4 linked regions of the Oryctolagus cuniculus genome follow. The protein of the gene in region 4 interacts with the protein of the main gene of each other region in a biochemical or structural test. Links are inferred from orthologs where the notes say so. Each region holds a gene or a part of one and is shown on either strand. Other genes may lie near its edges.

Region 1 (3,561 bases), on a different chromosome or scaffold from region 4:
GGCTGTCCGGCGTGCCATCTCAAGGACAAGGGCGCAGCCTGGACTCCCCCGCTCTGGGGCACCCTCCCTGGCCCCATCCTGGCCTGCTTCTTTGCTGGACCTGCTCCCCCTCGCAGGTGAACGCGGCAGGGCCACTGGAAGTCTGCGATCTCCGCCCTCTCGGGCACGGCCCGGTGCGGCCCACAACCCCTGCCGCGTCTCCGGCCCGAGATCTGCCCCTGCCACCAGCAGGGTCTTTCCTGCCGCAGCTGCAGACAGCAGTCGCTTCAACTCCGCATCACCCAAGTCCACCCTGTGCCCTGCTTGGAATCCCAGCCCCGGCCACTGCCTCCGCACCCTCCCCAGCGGCACGTTTCCACCTCTCGGGGGGCCCCTGGCTGCCCGCTGCCACCTCCGCCTCTTCCAGGCCGCCTCAAAGGGCAGTCGGATCCCCGACGGGGCACCCCCCACTCCAGGGGCCTGCCCCTCTCCCTTTCACCCCTGCTCCAGCACCGCCCTCCCGCGGCTCAGTTCCTTCACCTTCACCCCCATCGGCTCCCTCAGTATCTCTCATCCCTCCCAGCCCACAGGCCTCCCTCCCTCCACCCATCACGTAAGATTTGAGGTTCCTAAGAAGAGGGGGCCCTCCTTGTGGCTCCCAGCTGACAGCCCGCACCCCTACGCTGCTCAGCATCCCTCGGCACTGCCCATCAGAGCCTGCTCCTCCCCAGTCCAGTCAGGAAGCAGGAGTTTTCCTCAGTGTTCTCCTGCTCAGCCCACGCACTCCATACGTCCCTGTGTCCAAATGATCTGCCTCTAAAAGCCTCCTGAACGCAGCGCGAAAGCATTTCAAAAAGGTGGTGGAGGACAGGCAGTCAGTGGGGGAGAGGCCTGCAGCCCGCACTGGGCTCTGCGCTCTGCTCCTGGATCCCAGCAGCCTGCAATGCACACCCTGGCGGGCAGCAGTGACGGCTCAAGTCCTTGGGTGCGCGCCCCCCAAGGGGGAGGCCAGGCCTGTGTTTCGGCTTCTGTTCCAGCCAAGCCCTGGCTGCGGTGGCCTCTGGGAGGCAATCAGTGACAAGGAGCTCCCCTGCTCTGTCTGCTTTTCATTGAAATAACAATTGTAATTCTTTTTTTAGTTTGTGGCAAAATGGATTAAAAGACAAGTTTATTTTAGAGAGAATTATTGAAATCCATGCAGTTTCTTCCTATGTACTTTCTTTTAAATGGAAAATGGATTTCAAAAATTTTTCCACCAAAATTTCTTTTAACTCCACTTTCCATTACCTTTTTCTTTTAAATTTATTTATTTAAAAGTCAGTTACAACCACTGGTCCACTTCCCAAGATGGCTGCAACAGCCAGGGCTGAGCCAGGCCAAAGCCAGGAGCTTCATCTGGGTCTCCCAATGGGTGCAGGGCCCCAAGCACTTGGGCCATCTTCTGCAGCTTTTCCCAGGCCACAGCAGAGAGCTGGATCGCAAGTGGAGCAGCCGGAATGAACTGGTGCCCACATGGGATGCAGCACTGCCGAGGGCGGGCGGCTTTACCTGCTAAGGCCACAGCACGGGCCCCTCTCCTCATCTCAGTACTTAAGCTGACTCTCAGGTTTCGCTCCAATGACTGCAGACGCCCAACACTTACCCTGCCTCAGCCTTCACCTGCCCCAGCCCCAGCCCACTCCACTCCAACTCCTGCTTAAAATCCGACGTCTCCACACTCAGCTGCTTGAGCGGGCTCGCCACACCTGCAGGTTCTGCAGCTCTGCGGCCCCCACACGCTCGCCTCCAGCTGCGAGCCGCAAGCCCAGCCCTGCTGTCCAGCACCTCCTCCCAACCTGCCCTCCCCCACCCCACGCCCTGCACCTGCCTTTCCCTCTGCCTGAGCCCTCTCATGCCCACTCCTCAGCGCCAACCCTGATCCACTCTGCAGGCCGCCTTGGGTGACACCCCTACCCGGGAGCCCGAGTTCCCCAGAGGCCATCGATGGCATCAGTCCTCCCCGAGAGCACAGAGGTACCGAGGGGTTACCCGTCAGTTTCAGCCCTGCCGGCCTGCACCTGGCCAGGCCCGTGAGCCATGGCCAACGCTCAGCCGGCTCTCCGGTCACCTTCCCAGGTGCTGCTGCCCCGCCTCAATCCCAAGGGCCCCTCTCATCAGCCTCTCATCTGCAACTGCTGGGTTGGCGGGCACGACTCAGCCCCGCGGCCCCACCTTGTACTCCTTGATCTCCTCCTGCAGGATCTCGTCGGCGTCCGCGTAAACCTCCACCTTCCGCTGCTTCTCCAGCTTGCGCCGCAGCCGGGAGATGTCCTCCTGGGGCAGGAGAGGGGCCGGGCTCAGTGCAGGAGTCCTCGGGCCCGCAGGTGCCCACACCCACACCCACGCCCACGCCCTCCCGGACACACGCACCTGAGCCCTCTTGAGGTTGAAGCTCTCCTTCTCGCGGGCAGCCCGGCTCTCCGCCAGGCAGGGCTGGATCTCCCGCAGCCGAGTCTGCACGTGCTCCAGCTGTACCTTCAGGTCCTCGGCCAGCTGGGCCGCTTCCACAGCCTGAGGTGGGCGGGACAAGGAGGGGCACGTGGAGCCGCCGTCCACCCGAGCCTGCGTCGGACGTCCCAGCGCCGTCTATGCCGGAGCCGGTCCTGCCTTCCCGATCCTCTGGCCCTCGCCTCCTACGCTCTGATCCGCAGCTCCTGCCAGCATGGCGATCTCGCTCTTCTCTCTGCTCCCCTCAACACACACACACGGCACTCCCGCAGGTCTCTGCTCCAGTGGCACGTCCCGACAAACCCAGATTTCCCTTGCCCCACACCCGAGTTTCCTTCTTAAGACCAACTGTGACCTGCCGCACCGTTATTTATCTGTGGGATTATTGCCCTCAAGACGCGGTTCCAGGCCTGCCTGGAAGGCAGAGACCCTCTTGTGCCCACCGCTTTCACAGGGACCAGCCCAAGGCCTGCACATCACAGGGACGTAAGAAATACTGCAATACTGCTTACGTGAATGGATTCACTGGAGAAGAATACAACAGACAGGAAGAGGAAGATTTAAACCAGTATTACTCTAAAGACGTGAGCACGGACTAGATCTTTCGTATGTTGCAGCCAACCCACGAGTGCTCAGGACGTGGGCTCTGGAGCCATGGGGACCTGGGCCTCCTGGCTTCACTTTCTTTTTTTTTGAGCAAGTCTGCTGACCCCTCTACACCTGTCTGTCCGATTCGGAAACGTGGACAGCACCACGCACATCTTGGTAGGATTCTTAGGCTGAGACTAGCACGTGACCAGCGGGTCAGGCGGGGCAGGCTCGGCATCCAGGCGAGGCGAGGCAGCACAGGGCTCCCCGGGCCATTCCCGGCGGCTTCTCCGTACACACCCAGGGGAGGCTGGGAGCCGGCGGCCGGGGCCCAGCCTCACCTTCCGCTTGTTGAGCTCCAGGGCCTGGCTGCGCAGCGTCAGCTCCTTCTCCACGCCGCCGAGGCTGCCCTGCAGGGCCCGCTCCTTCTCCTCCAGCTTCTGCACGGTCAGCAGCTGCGCGTCCACCTGCGGACGGGGCAGGCCTCAGGGCGCGGAGCTCCAGCCT
Region 2 (4,278 bases), on a different chromosome or scaffold from region 4:
TGTTGGAACCCTTCTTCGAGGTGCGGCTCCGGAGTCTTGGGGATGGTCCTGCTTGGGCTTCGGGGGGAGGCAGCGGCCCGCACTGGCCTCGGACCCACAGCTGGCCGGATGGCGTCAGGCAGCAGGTCATGGCGGTGGGATCTAGGTCCGGCGGTAGCTGCATTTGCCGCTGCACCCTCTGCTCCATGCGGTAACCACCCAGTCCCGGGTTGCCGTACTCCCACTGCCGCTGGCCGGTCACCGTCAGGTTCTGCCCAGTCACCTGCACCACCAGCTCCTCGGGGGCGAAGCCCTGCGCGTCCATCTTCATTTGGAAATCGTCTGCGGCCCGGCCATGGTCCTGCACAGCGGCCGGGTGGTCCCTCAGCAGCTGCACCGGCAGTGTGGCCACCTGATTGCGTTCAGCGAGGGCCACACTGGGACTCCTCGACGCCACCTGGTTCCCGTTGGAGAAACTGCTGCCGACCCGCTGCATCCAAGTGAGCAACTGCTCTTCAGGGGCACGAGGCTCCGAACGCAAGGCCCGAGCTCGGCCAGGCGTGTGGACTCCAAGGAAACGGGAGCGGGGTCCTCACGAGGCCCCGCGCGGCTCCCCCGGGTCGGGTTGGGTCGGGTCGGGTCAGGCGGGGGCAGCTCATTCCCTTTGACTTCCGCAAACTTCGGCTGGGTCCGGGGTCAGCTCTGCCCGTCCTGCCTCCAGGAGCGGGCTGTCAGTTGCTCAGGAGCACCCGCTATACTTTTACCCTGGCCCTGCCCTTTCTCCACCACGGCACAATGGAGCCACTGAAGAGGCTGGACGCCGGGAGCAGACACTCGGCAGCCACCGACCGGCCAGGGGCAGGGAAGCCCATTGCTGGCAGAGACAGCGGGCGGGGTCCTCCAGGTCCTCCATCGCGGCGTGCCCTGCTTCTCCCTGAGCACACGCACGAGGGAGGCGGGCACATCCCTCCCTGTCCTCGGGGTCTGGGGCCACAAAGATGATGGCGCGGGCATCCCGCGTCCCAGTGGTTTTCCTTGTCGCTGCTGCGACCACAGCCGCGCCCCTGGAACTCTGTGTTTTGATACTAAATTCTCTCCGTTGAAGGATAACAAAGTGCACAACGCAGTACAGGTGGATGGTACACAGCGCACGCCCGGGGTAGCCACCGAAGCTCAGAGCTTCGGCCACGTCTCAGCCCCTGTGCGGCTGCAGCCCCGCGTCTGGGCCTCACGGGATGGGGCCTCGGCCCCCGTGGGGGGCGCCTATTTCCTGGGATGCACCTCCCTGTCCCTAAGACGGCAGCAACCGGAGCCGTCCCGGACGCCTTCCAGATAAATTGGGAGCCAGGAAGTCTGGGGTGCTAGCTGGGGCTCCCCTTGGCTGCCTGGTACCAAGAGAAAGGACGGAAAAGTCTGGAAGCTGGAGGCCAGGGGCGCGGCGGTGGAAGACTACAACTCCCGTCGTGCGTCGGGCCTGTGGCGCCTGCGCACTGCGCACCGGTTGCCCATGCGGCCCTAGGGCTGGGAGCGCGGCGCCGCTCCGCTGCGGGGGAGGCCATGGCGGAACCTTCTCAGGCCCCGGCCCCAGTCCCGGCTGCGCAGCCCCGGCCCCTTCAGTCCCCAGCCCCTACCCCAACTCCTACTCCTGCGCCCAGCCCTGCTTCAGCCCCGACTCCGGCTCCCACTCCGGCACCAGCCCCCGCCCCGGCTGCAGCCCCAGCCGGGAGCACAGGGACTGGAGGGCCCGGGGTAGGAAGTGGGGGAACCGGCAGCGGGGGGGATCCGGCGCGACCTGGCCTGAGCCAGCAGCAGCGCGCCAGCCAGAGGAAGGCGCAAGTCCGGGGACTGCCGCGCGCCAAGAAGCTTGAGAAGCTAGGGGTCTTCTCCGCTTGCAAGGTGGGGGCGGGGCCTAGGGTGAAAGGGGCGGGGCTTGAGGGCATCCCTGGGCTCGGGTGGGAATGGGGGGCGACGCTCTGGACGCTTAGCGGCCCCTGCCCCTGGGGTGCGGGGGTCGTTGACTTATCTCCTGCCTCCAGGCCAATGAAACCTGCAAATGTAATGGCTGGAAAAACCCCAAGCCCCCTACTGCTCCCCGCATGGACCTGCAGCAGCCTGCTGCCAACCTGAGCGAGCTGTGCCGCAGCTGTGAGCACCCCTTGGGTAAGGCAGGCAGCGCCCTTGCAGGTGGTGGGCGCCAGGTGCTGGGGCCTGCTTGGACAGCCTGATTTCGCTGCCAGGAAACCTCGTCTCAGGACCTTAGGAGGTGTGGGGTTGGGGGCAGGCAGGCCGAGAGGGAGGAGAAAGGGAAAGTGCCAGCCGGGAAGATGCGGGGCCACCTTTGGAAGTCTTGGCTCCCTGCCGAGCAGGGCGTCCATGCCTCCCCACCCCGCGGCCCGGGCTGGCTGTCTTGCAGCTGACCACGTGTCCCACCTGGAGAATGTGTCAGAGGATGAGATCAACCGGCTGCTGGGGATGGTGGTGGATGTGGAGAATCTGTTCATGTCGGTGCACAAGGAGGAGGACACGGACACCAAACAGGTCTACTTCTACCTCTTCAAGGTGAGCTTCCGCGAACGGGCGTGAGTGGGGGGCAGGGGGGCTCTCAGTTCTGATGCTCCCTCCCTCCCTCCCTCCCTCTTCCTGCAGCTCCTGCGCAAATGCATCCTGCAGATGACCCGGCCTGTGGTGGAGGGGTCCCTGGGCAGCCCCCCGTTTGAGAAGCCTAATATTGAGCAGGTGGGGTGGGGCACGGGGAGCTGGGTCCTCCCTCCTGCTCTAGCTGAAAATCAGAGGGGATCAGCCGGGGGCGTGTGTTCTGTGCTGACTGCAGAGTGGGGTGGAGGAGGGGGGGCACTTTGTCACGAAGCTGGCTTCTTAGCCCTCCTCCCTGGATTTGTTCCCCACCCCACCCCTTCCCAGGGTGTGCTGAACTTCGTGCAGTACAAGTTTAGCCACCTGGCTCCCCGGGAGCGACAGACCATGTTCGAACTCTCCAAGATGTTCCTGCTTTGCCTTAACTACTGGAAGCTGGAGACGCCCGCCCAGTTCCGGCAAAGGTCCCAGTCGGAGGATGTGGCTACCTACAAGGTCAATTACACCAGGTAGGCCCTGCCCGGGCGGGGGCTGGGGGGGGATTTGTAGACCTCCCCATGTGCTCTCACCCTGCTGTCCCCACCCCCAGGTGGCTGTGTTACTGTCACGTGCCCCAGAGCTGCGACAGCCTGCCTCGCTACGAGACCACTCACGTGTTCGGGCGAAGCCTCCTCCGGTCCATTTTCACTGTTACCCGGCGGCAGCTGCTGGAGAAGTTCCGAGTGGAGAAAGACAAGCTGGTGCCGGAGAAGAGGACCCTCATCCTCACCCACTTCCCCAAGTAAGGCTCGTTCCGGCCCACTGCGAGTTTGCCCCAAGTTCACGTCCTCCCTGTTGTCCCCTTTTTTCCAGGAAGCCTTCCTGGATTGGTCCCTCCTCTCCCTCCATGGGCCTTCTGGGATCTGGGCGTCTACCTGGCAGACTTGCCCATGGCCCAGAAGCAGCTTGCTAGTAGTTGCCTTTGCACGGCCTAGTCTGGGGATGGCAGGTACATGGCCCCGGCTAACGCTGCCCCTCCCACACCCTGCTAGGCGTTACTAATTGTTTCCCATGGGGGCCTGGACCCAGCCTCAGAATCCCTCCCACCACAGAGCTCCAAGAAGCCAGCGCTGACACCTGAGGTGACAGCAGTGTCCGCCCCGCGCTAGTCCTTTCTGTGCCAGTGTCCCCCCGTGTGCCACACCTCTCTCCCATCTTAAGCCTGGCTCGTGACTTCTCTGTTCAGAGAGCCTTGGCTGTCAAATCCGGGCCCCTGAGTGCCCCTGCCACCAGGTGGGAACAGGAGGTGGTGAGTTGGGGTGGATTCCTAGTCATCTTGATGCTGCGGGGAGCAGGGGGACCCAGGGGGACGTGGTGCCCTGCCTGGCTACGGGGTTGGTATTTAGCTCGGGCCCTGTGGCCCTGTGCTGCCCGAGATGGCCAAACTGGGCCCCTTTGCTTGGTGTGTCCGAAGCTCTCACCTTGCATTCGAGGCTCCCGGGAGCCAGGGGGCCGTGCCTGCCCCTGTGGCCAGGGCTTCCCGCAGGGCAGAGCTTGCTCTCAGACGCGCCTCGCAGGGTCTGTCTCTGGCCACGGCACAGCCGCAGCCCCCCGGGGGCCCGGCCCAGGCCGCCTTTGGCGGGAGGGCGGAGTCGTGGACAGACGGCGCCCTCCCCCCAGGTTCCTGTCCATGCTGGAGGAGGAGATCTACGGGGCCAACTCGCCCAT
Region 3 (3,561 bases), on a different chromosome or scaffold from region 4:
AGTTTCTTCCAGGTGTCCTCCATGGGTGCAGGGGCCCAAGCACTTGGGCCATCTTCCATTGCTTTCCCAGGCCATAAGTAGAGAGCTGGATTGGAAGAGGAACAGCTGAGGCACGAACCAGCATCCATATGGGATGCTGGTGCTGCAGGCGGAGGCTTAGCTGGCCCCAAATTTTCATTTTTATTAACAGTACTATGGAGATAACTCTTTCTGAAAATTTTTACTTTTTTGAGGATAAATTGGAGATTTAAATGCTGGTTAAAGCATCTCCCCATTGTTTGTACTTTTGTCTTATATTAGTCTCCAGAAAAGTGATAATAATTTACATTTATCAGGAGGTTGCCCATGCTCAACTATAAAACTGATCTTTTGAGATGAAATAATTTTAACATATTTAGTAATATGATTACTGGAGATGTTTGAAGGCTATTTCACTAATTTACATTGTCTTTGTCTCCAGCCCTCATGTAGTCAAATATTATGGAAGTTATTTTAAGAACACAGACTTATGGATCGTTATGGAGTACTGTGGAGCTGGCTCTGTATCTGATATCATTCGATTACGAAATAAAACGGTAAGTTTACCTGGTAGAAGCTGCAGCTGAGCAAGTCTCTTTCACCATTTTTTTGCTTTAGCCTTTTATTTGTGTGTATTTTCTTGCTACTGTATCTAGACAAATAACTGTCAAATTTCTTATTTTCTATTGTTGTTTCTTCCTCATTACTCTCTCATGTCTTCTAAAGGTAGCAGTTTTACACCAGATCAATCCAGTGGTTTTTAGCATACTTTTCTTACTGGGAAAAAAAAAAACTATGAAATATTAGTTAGGGCGTGAATTTTAAATACTTTAGTTTGGATTTCTTCATCCACCTACCATGTTCACAAGTTAACTGCCTCTGCTTCCTGTTAATCAGAGAGTAATCCCATTATGAAAGACTATTTACCTTACTGTGTAATAAGTAATATTATTTGCTGGAATAAGACCTAGAAGTCATAATTTCTAATTCCAGTTCAATTGCTTAAGCTGTTTATTTATTCAGTAAATATTTCTAGAACACTGCTATAGGTCTTAGAGATCCAGTAGCAAAACAGATGACAACATTGCTCTTACAGTAGTGTACTTTCCACTAGGCCAACAGAAAACAAATTAATGTTAACTAGAAAAGAAATAGCAGGTAGTGGTAAAAACCGTGAAGAAAATGATTAATGTATAAGATGAAGAGGTAGTGAAATGGTAGAGAGTGCTTGGTGGGCTACTTTTTTTGTTTTTTTTTTTAATATTTATTTATTTATTTGAAGGAATTACACAGAGAGAGATGGAGAGGAAGAGATCTTCCATCCACTGGTTTACTCTCCAGATGGCCACAATGGCCAGAGCTGGGACAGCCAGGAGTTTCTTCTGGGTCTCTAATGTAGGTGCAGAGGCCCATGCATTTAGGTCATTTTCTGCTGCTTTCCCAGGTGCATTAGCATTTCCTAGGAAGCTGGATTGGAAGTGGAGCAGCTGGACTTGAACTGGCACCCATATTGGATGCTGGCATTGCAGGCAGCAGCTTTACCTGCTATGCTACAATACCGGCCCCTCATTATGGTTAGTATTTGCATTTCTTTGATGGCTAGTGATCCTGAGCATTTTTTCATGTGTTTGTTGGTCATTTGTATTTTTTTTTTAAGATTGATTTATTTATTTGAAAGACAGAGTTACAGAGAGGCAGAGGAGGGGGGGGGGGTCTTCCATCCGCTGGTTCACTTCCCAGATGGCTGCAACAGCCAGAGCTGTGCCAATCCCAAGCCAGGAGCTAGGAACTTTCTTCTGGGTCTCCTACATGGGTGCAGGACCCCAGGAATTGGGCGATCTTCTGTTGCTTTCCCAGGCCATAGCAGAGAGCTGAATCGGAAGTGGAGTAGCCAGGACTCGAGTTGGCAGCCACAAGGAGTGCCAGCACTGCAGGTGGTGGCTTTACCCGCTGTGCCACAGCACCAGCCCCTGACCCTTTGTATTTCATCCTAGAAAAATGCCTGTTCGGGAACAATGCTGTGACACAGTGGGTTAAAGCCCCAGCTTGCCATGCTGGAATCCCATATGGTCACCAGTTCAGGTCCTAGCTGCTCTACTTCTGATCCAGTTTCCTGCTAACGCACCTGGGAAAGCAGTGGAAGATGGCCCAGGTGCTTGGGCTCCTGCATCCACATGGGAGACCTGGATGAAGCTGCTGGCTCCTGGCTTTGGATTAGTCAGCTCTAGCCATTGTGGCCATCTGGGTGGTGAACCAGCAGATAAGGACCTCTCTCTCTCTCTCTCTCTCTCTCTCTCTCTCTCTCTGTCTCTACCTCTCTTTGTAACTTTGTCTTTCAAACAAATAAAATAGATCTTTAAAAAAAGAAAAAAAGAAATATGCCTGTTCAAGTCCTTTGCCCATTTCTTAACTAGGTTGTTTTGTTGTTGAGTTTCTTGAGCTCCTTATATATTCTGGATTTTAATCCTTTAGCAAATGCATAGTTTGCAAATATTTTCTCCCACTGTGTTGGTTGCTGCTTCACTTTGTCAAGTGATTCTTTTGCTGTGCAGAAGCTTCTTAGCTCGAAGTCATCCTGTTTGGTTATTCCTCTGTGAAATAAAGACCTTCCAAGACAAACAGAATTGAAATAATTTGTCAGCACTCAGTGATACTTACAAATGATACTTAAAGATATACCACAAACAGAAACAGAGAAAAATAATCAGCATCATGAAAGACTGTAAAGGCACAAAACCTCTTAATAATAGCAAAGAGGAGATCCAAAACAAACAAAAGGAATATTTACAGAAAAATGGCATAACCCAGTCATTACTTATCAATAATAATCTTGAATATAAATGAGCTAAACTCTCCAATTAAAAGATACAGACTGGCTGAATGTATTAAAAAACAAAATCAATCTATATGCTGCCTACAAGAAACACCCTTATCAACAAAGATACACACAGATTGAAAGCAAAAGACTTGAAATTGATACTCCATGTAAATGAAGTAAAAAATGAGCCAGAGTAGCTATCATCCCATCAGACAAAATAGACTTTAAGACAAAAACTGGGGGCCAGCACTGTGGCATAGCAGGTAAAGCCACTGCCTGCAGTGTCAGCATCCCATATGATACTGGTTCAAGTCCTGGCTAATCCACTTCTGATCCAGCTCTATGCTATGGCCTGGGAAAGCAGTACAAGATGGCCCAAGTCCTTGTGCTCCTGCATCTATGTGGCTGAATGTAATAAATGGGGTAGAAAATAAAGTTGGAGAGGTAGCTTGGAGCTAGGTCACTTAAGGCCTTGGTGATAACGGTCTTTTATTTGAGCAATTTAGGAAGCCGTTGGTAGGTTTTGAGCAGATCTGGTTTCTGTTTTAAAAGAGTAAGTACGGTCTATGGCCATACTACCCTGAACACGCCCGATCTTGTCTGATCTTGGAAGCTAAGCAGGGTCGGGCCTGGTTAGTAGTTGGATGGGAAGAGTAAGCATTGTTGTCATGTGGAAAAGATAGAGGGTCAAAAGCAGAAACAGTGGAACCAGTTAAGAGATTATT
Region 4 (3,797 bases):
TGGGCCGGGTGCACCGGCTGCTGCGCAAGGGCAACTACGCCGAGCGCGTCGGCGCCGGCGCCCCGGTGTACCTGGCGGCCGTGCTCGAGTACCTGACGGCCGAGATCCTGGAGCTGGCGGGCAACGCGGCGCGCGACAACAAGAAGACGCGCATCATCCCGCGCCACCTGCAGCTGGCCGTGAGAAATGACGAGGAGCTCAACAAGTTACTCGGGGGTGTCACCATCGCGCAGGGCGGCGTGCTGCCCAACATCCAGGCCGTGCTGCTGCCCAAGAAGACGGAGAGCCACAAGCCTGGCAAGAGCAAGTGATTGATTAGGCGTGACACCACTCCCGTCCACCCAAAAGGCTCTTTTAAGAGCCACCACAGTGTCAAGCGGAGGGCTGATAACAAGCAGCGCGTTAGCTCTTTCTTTGACAACTTGGGTGGCTCTAAAAAGAGCCTTTGGTCTTTGGTTCAGGTCGTCAAATTTATTTGCTTTTGGCTTTGTGGCTTTCGGTTTTCTTTGGCAGCAGCACAGCCTGGATGTTGGGCAGCACGCCGCCCTGCGCGATCGTCACCTTGCCCAGCAGCTTGTTGAGCTCCTCGTCGTTGCGGATGGCCAGCTGCAGGTGGCGCGGGATGATGCGCGTCTTCTTGTTGTCGCGCGCCGCGTTGCCCGCCAGCTCCAGGATCTCGGCCGTCAGGTACTCGAGCACGGCCGCCATGTAGACGGGCGCGCCGGCGCCGACGCGCTCGGCGTAGTTGCCCTTGCGCAGCAGCCGGTGCACCCGGCCCACGGGGAACTGCAGCCCGGCGCGCGACGACCGCGACTTGGCCTTGGCGCGCGCCTTGCCTCCTTGCTTGCCACGACCAGACATAGTTAAGAAAAAGAAACCAAACCCAGCTAGGGCGCAGAACCTCGCAACAAAACAAGATTGAAAGGAACCCACGAAGAAAGCCTTTATAAGCTTCCCTGGGGGTGGGGTCAGGAACGAGCTTTTCATTGGTCCTAATATGGCTTCAGAAACAGCCAATAAAGTCGAGCTGTTGTCATTACGCAGGCTTTTACCGAAAACGCAACTTTCCTGCACGGACCAATGGAAACGAAAGCCATTTTGATTCCTAATTTGCATAAGATGGTTATAAGAGGATCAGGCCCGCCCATCCTCTTATTCCTTTTCCCCGCTGTATCGCGTTGGTGTGGTGTTTACCATGCCCGAGCCAGCCAAGTCCGCGCCCGCGCCCAAGAAGGGCTCCAAGAAAGCTGTCACCAAGGCGCAGAAGAAAGACGGCAAGAAGCGCAAGCGCAGCCGCAAGGAGAGCTACTCCATCTACGTGTACAAGGTGCTCAAGCAAGTGCACCCCGACACCGGCATCTCGTCCAAGGCCATGGGCATCATGAACTCGTTCGTCAACGACATCTTCGAGCGCATCGCCGGCGAGGCGTCGCGCCTGGCGCACTACAACAAGCGCTCGACCATCACGTCCCGGGAGATCCAGACGGCCGTGCGCCTGCTTCTGCCCGGCGAGCTGGCCAAGCACGCCGTGTCCGAGGGCACCAAGGCTGTCACCAAGTACACCAGCTCCAAGTGAGGCCCTGCCGTGCCGCTAACCCACAAAGGCTCTTTTCAGAGCCACCCATCTGATCGGGAAAGAGCCGTGTTCACATAACGTCCCCCCTTAGTCCCTTCGCACAAGTAAGTTACTGCAGCCCAGACGTAGTGGGGGTGGAGTACTTGGCATTCTCTAAGACGTTCCGACCCCGAGGTTCCCGGCGCGTGATTGGACTTGCGTTGAGTGCCAAGTGCGTCTTCACTCCTAACAGCGGCGATGGCCCGCCCCTACCCCTCTGCGTTGCGGCAGTGGCCGGGCGGCTTTGTTACACACGCTGGGCCGTCTTAAACTCGAGTGGCTGATTGCAGCTATTGGTTTAGGAAGACTGCAGGACACAAGTAGGCGCGTCCGGCGGCCGCTGTGTACAGCAGCAGCTTAGCACCGGAAGCGGCGGGGTGGCCAGCTCGGCGCGGGGAGGGCTCGGCCTGCGGGCCTGCGGGCCTGCGGGTGACCGGTGCTGTGCTCTGGGGCGGAGCCCGCGCCGCTGAGGGTCAGACTTTTCCTGATTGGGCGGCATGAATATTCAAAATTCGCGCCACTCGAGAATTCTTAAAGACTTTGTTTTCCGCCTCTGACGTTGTAGCTTGGAGAGTCCTAGGATTCCTTAAGTCCGTAAATGATTTTTGCATTTAATGCTCTGTGCTGGGAAGCCTGCCCCAGGTCACTGCAAGACACGGGTGGTTTAGCTCGGGGATTAAGAACCGCTGCCAGCGGCATCCGCTCAGGAGCCTGCCCTTTGGCCCTGTCTGTTGTGTGTTTTCATCTTCGTCCACGCAGCTGGCTGAAATTCGCTGGCTCATTTGCTTTCTCGTTAATGGTCTTTCTTCAAACCGGGACAAAGGCCCTGCTGGCCTGCTTTTCCTCCGTATCTTCAGCGCCCATCAGTGCCTGGCACGTAGCGGACACAAACGGCTTGAACCGATATCGACGGATTCGTTTTTCTATCCCGCCAATTTCGTAATCGCTTCCGTGGGTGGGGGGTGGGCGCTGTTTATTTCCATCAGATGTGAAGATACGATGAAGATGGAAATGTTTTTGTAGCTCCTTGACCAAATATGTCGTTAATCACCTCGGTGCAACTGCTTTGGGGCGGGTGAGGGGTGGGGGGAGGCCTGGTGCCAAGATTTTTTTTTTTTTTTGCATCGGGAGGAGGCGGCAGTAGCGGGTCTTCCCCGCAGGCTCCCCGCTTTAGGGTGACCCGTTTTAGGTTTCCGTTCAATTGAGAGCAGTGGTCAGCGAGAAGAGCCTTCACCCTCTGTTCACACTGGGAGGAGCTTTCAGTTCATCCCCACCAACCCGGCTGCTTTTTCAGGAGGCCCTAACAAGCAGAGCAGACAGAGCTGCAATATCCCTCACACAGCGAGCGCTGCTTTTGTCTTCTGCGATGTGATCACAGGTGTATTTTGGTCGTATCTGATGCAATTACGCAATACCGAATCTTCCTGTCCGAGCCTTGATGGTGCCAGGGGAGGTCCTGAGTGCTCAGTAACTGGACTCTGCTCAGGGCTCCTGGAGTTGATTGCAAGGGTTTTGTGAACCCAGATGTGCTCCACATAGCAAATCATAGGCTGAGATCTTGAGCCTGCTGCGCGTGTGCTTTCAAATCTGTGTAGATGCTGTTATTAATAAAGTGCCCAACTCATTTTAAGGCTTTGCTATATCCTTTTATCGGCCATATATGAAGTGAAATTGACAGGGACAGTCACCACTGGGTACATGTGTGGAAAGGGTGGAGAAGGAATATTTAGAAGCCGTCAGCTAAACTTTTACCCCAGATGGGCAATGGGGCTGAACCAGGCTGTCACAAGGCTTTCCGCAGTCCTTGCAAAATACGTGAGCATGAAGAAGAAGCACTACAAACAACGTGGAAGACATACAGTCCTTAACCAAGGTGGGCTAACACCGACAGACACTTAACATGTGTTCCCGATTCATGCACAACATTCTCTCATTCTCACAAGAGCCTCCTAAAGTAGGTAGACTTGTCATCTCCCACTGGACAGGGAGGGAAACTGAGCCACAGAGCGGCCTTTCCTCAGAAACTCACCAGAGAAAAAGCTCCTTGTTTAGTGCTAAAAGGATGTAAGAAAGCAGGGCTGCTCTCTGAGAACCTGGACTCCTCCCTGGATTAGGGGGGAAATAGCTGTGCTTTAAAATAAAGAAAAAAAAAAAGCCACCTGCTTTATCGTCCAGAATGCGA

The links.
Region 1: of the proteins of histone H2B type 2-E (region 4) and RNF40, one has a biochemical effect on the other in vitro, tested with the Homo sapiens proteins (2 studies listed by BioGRID). The link is inferred for Oryctolagus cuniculus from reciprocal best matches to the Homo sapiens genes H2BC21 and RNF40.
Region 2: of the proteins of histone H2B type 2-E (region 4) and KAT2A, one has a biochemical effect on the other in vitro, tested with the Homo sapiens proteins (2 studies listed by BioGRID). The link is inferred for Oryctolagus cuniculus from reciprocal best matches to the Homo sapiens genes H2BC21 and KAT2A.
Region 3: of the proteins of histone H2B type 2-E (region 4) and STK4, one has a biochemical effect on the other in vitro, tested with the Homo sapiens proteins (2 studies listed by BioGRID). The link is inferred for Oryctolagus cuniculus from reciprocal best matches to the Homo sapiens genes H2BC21 and STK4.

What each region holds. Positions count from the first base shown.
Region 1 is NC_091450.1:6,344,924-6,348,484, forward strand, and holds part of RNF40 (E3 ubiquitin-protein ligase BRE1B), read right to left. Parts: intron 3,522-3,561; coding exon 3,396-3,521; intron 2,530-3,395; coding exon 2,389-2,529; intron 2,293-2,388; coding exon 2,191-2,292; intron 1-2,190.
Region 2 is NC_091448.1:20,670,675-20,674,952, forward strand, and holds the start of KAT2A (histone acetyltransferase KAT2A), read left to right. Parts: upstream 1-1,471; 5' UTR 1,472-1,536; coding exon 1,537-1,875; intron 1,876-2,015; coding exon 2,016-2,139; intron 2,140-2,392; coding exon 2,393-2,538; intron 2,539-2,625; coding exon 2,626-2,715; intron 2,716-2,898; coding exon 2,899-3,080; intron 3,081-3,160; coding exon 3,161-3,352; intron 3,353-4,230; coding exon 4,231-4,278. Other genes in the region: HSPB9 (heat shock protein beta-9), read right to left, coding at 1-475. UniProt on the Homo sapiens protein: Protein lysine acyltransferase that can act as a acetyltransferase, glutaryltransferase, succinyltransferase or malonyltransferase, depending on the context.
Region 3 is NC_091442.1:14,181,739-14,185,299, reverse strand, and holds part of STK4 (serine/threonine-protein kinase 4), read left to right. Parts: intron 1-460; coding exon 461-575; intron 576-3,561. UniProt on the Homo sapiens protein: Stress-activated, pro-apoptotic kinase which, following caspase-cleavage, enters the nucleus and induces chromatin condensation followed by internucleosomal DNA fragmentation.
Region 4 is NC_091438.1:48,065,091-48,068,887, forward strand, and holds histone H2B type 2-E, read left to right. Parts: upstream 1-1,141; 5' UTR 1,142-1,195; coding exon 1,196-1,576; 3' UTR 1,577-3,245; downstream 3,246-3,797. Other genes in the region: histone H2A type 2-B, read left to right, coding at 1-311; histone H2A type 2-C, read right to left, coding at 472-861. UniProt on the Homo sapiens protein: Core component of nucleosome. Nucleosomes wrap and compact DNA into chromatin, limiting DNA accessibility to the cellular machineries which require DNA as a template.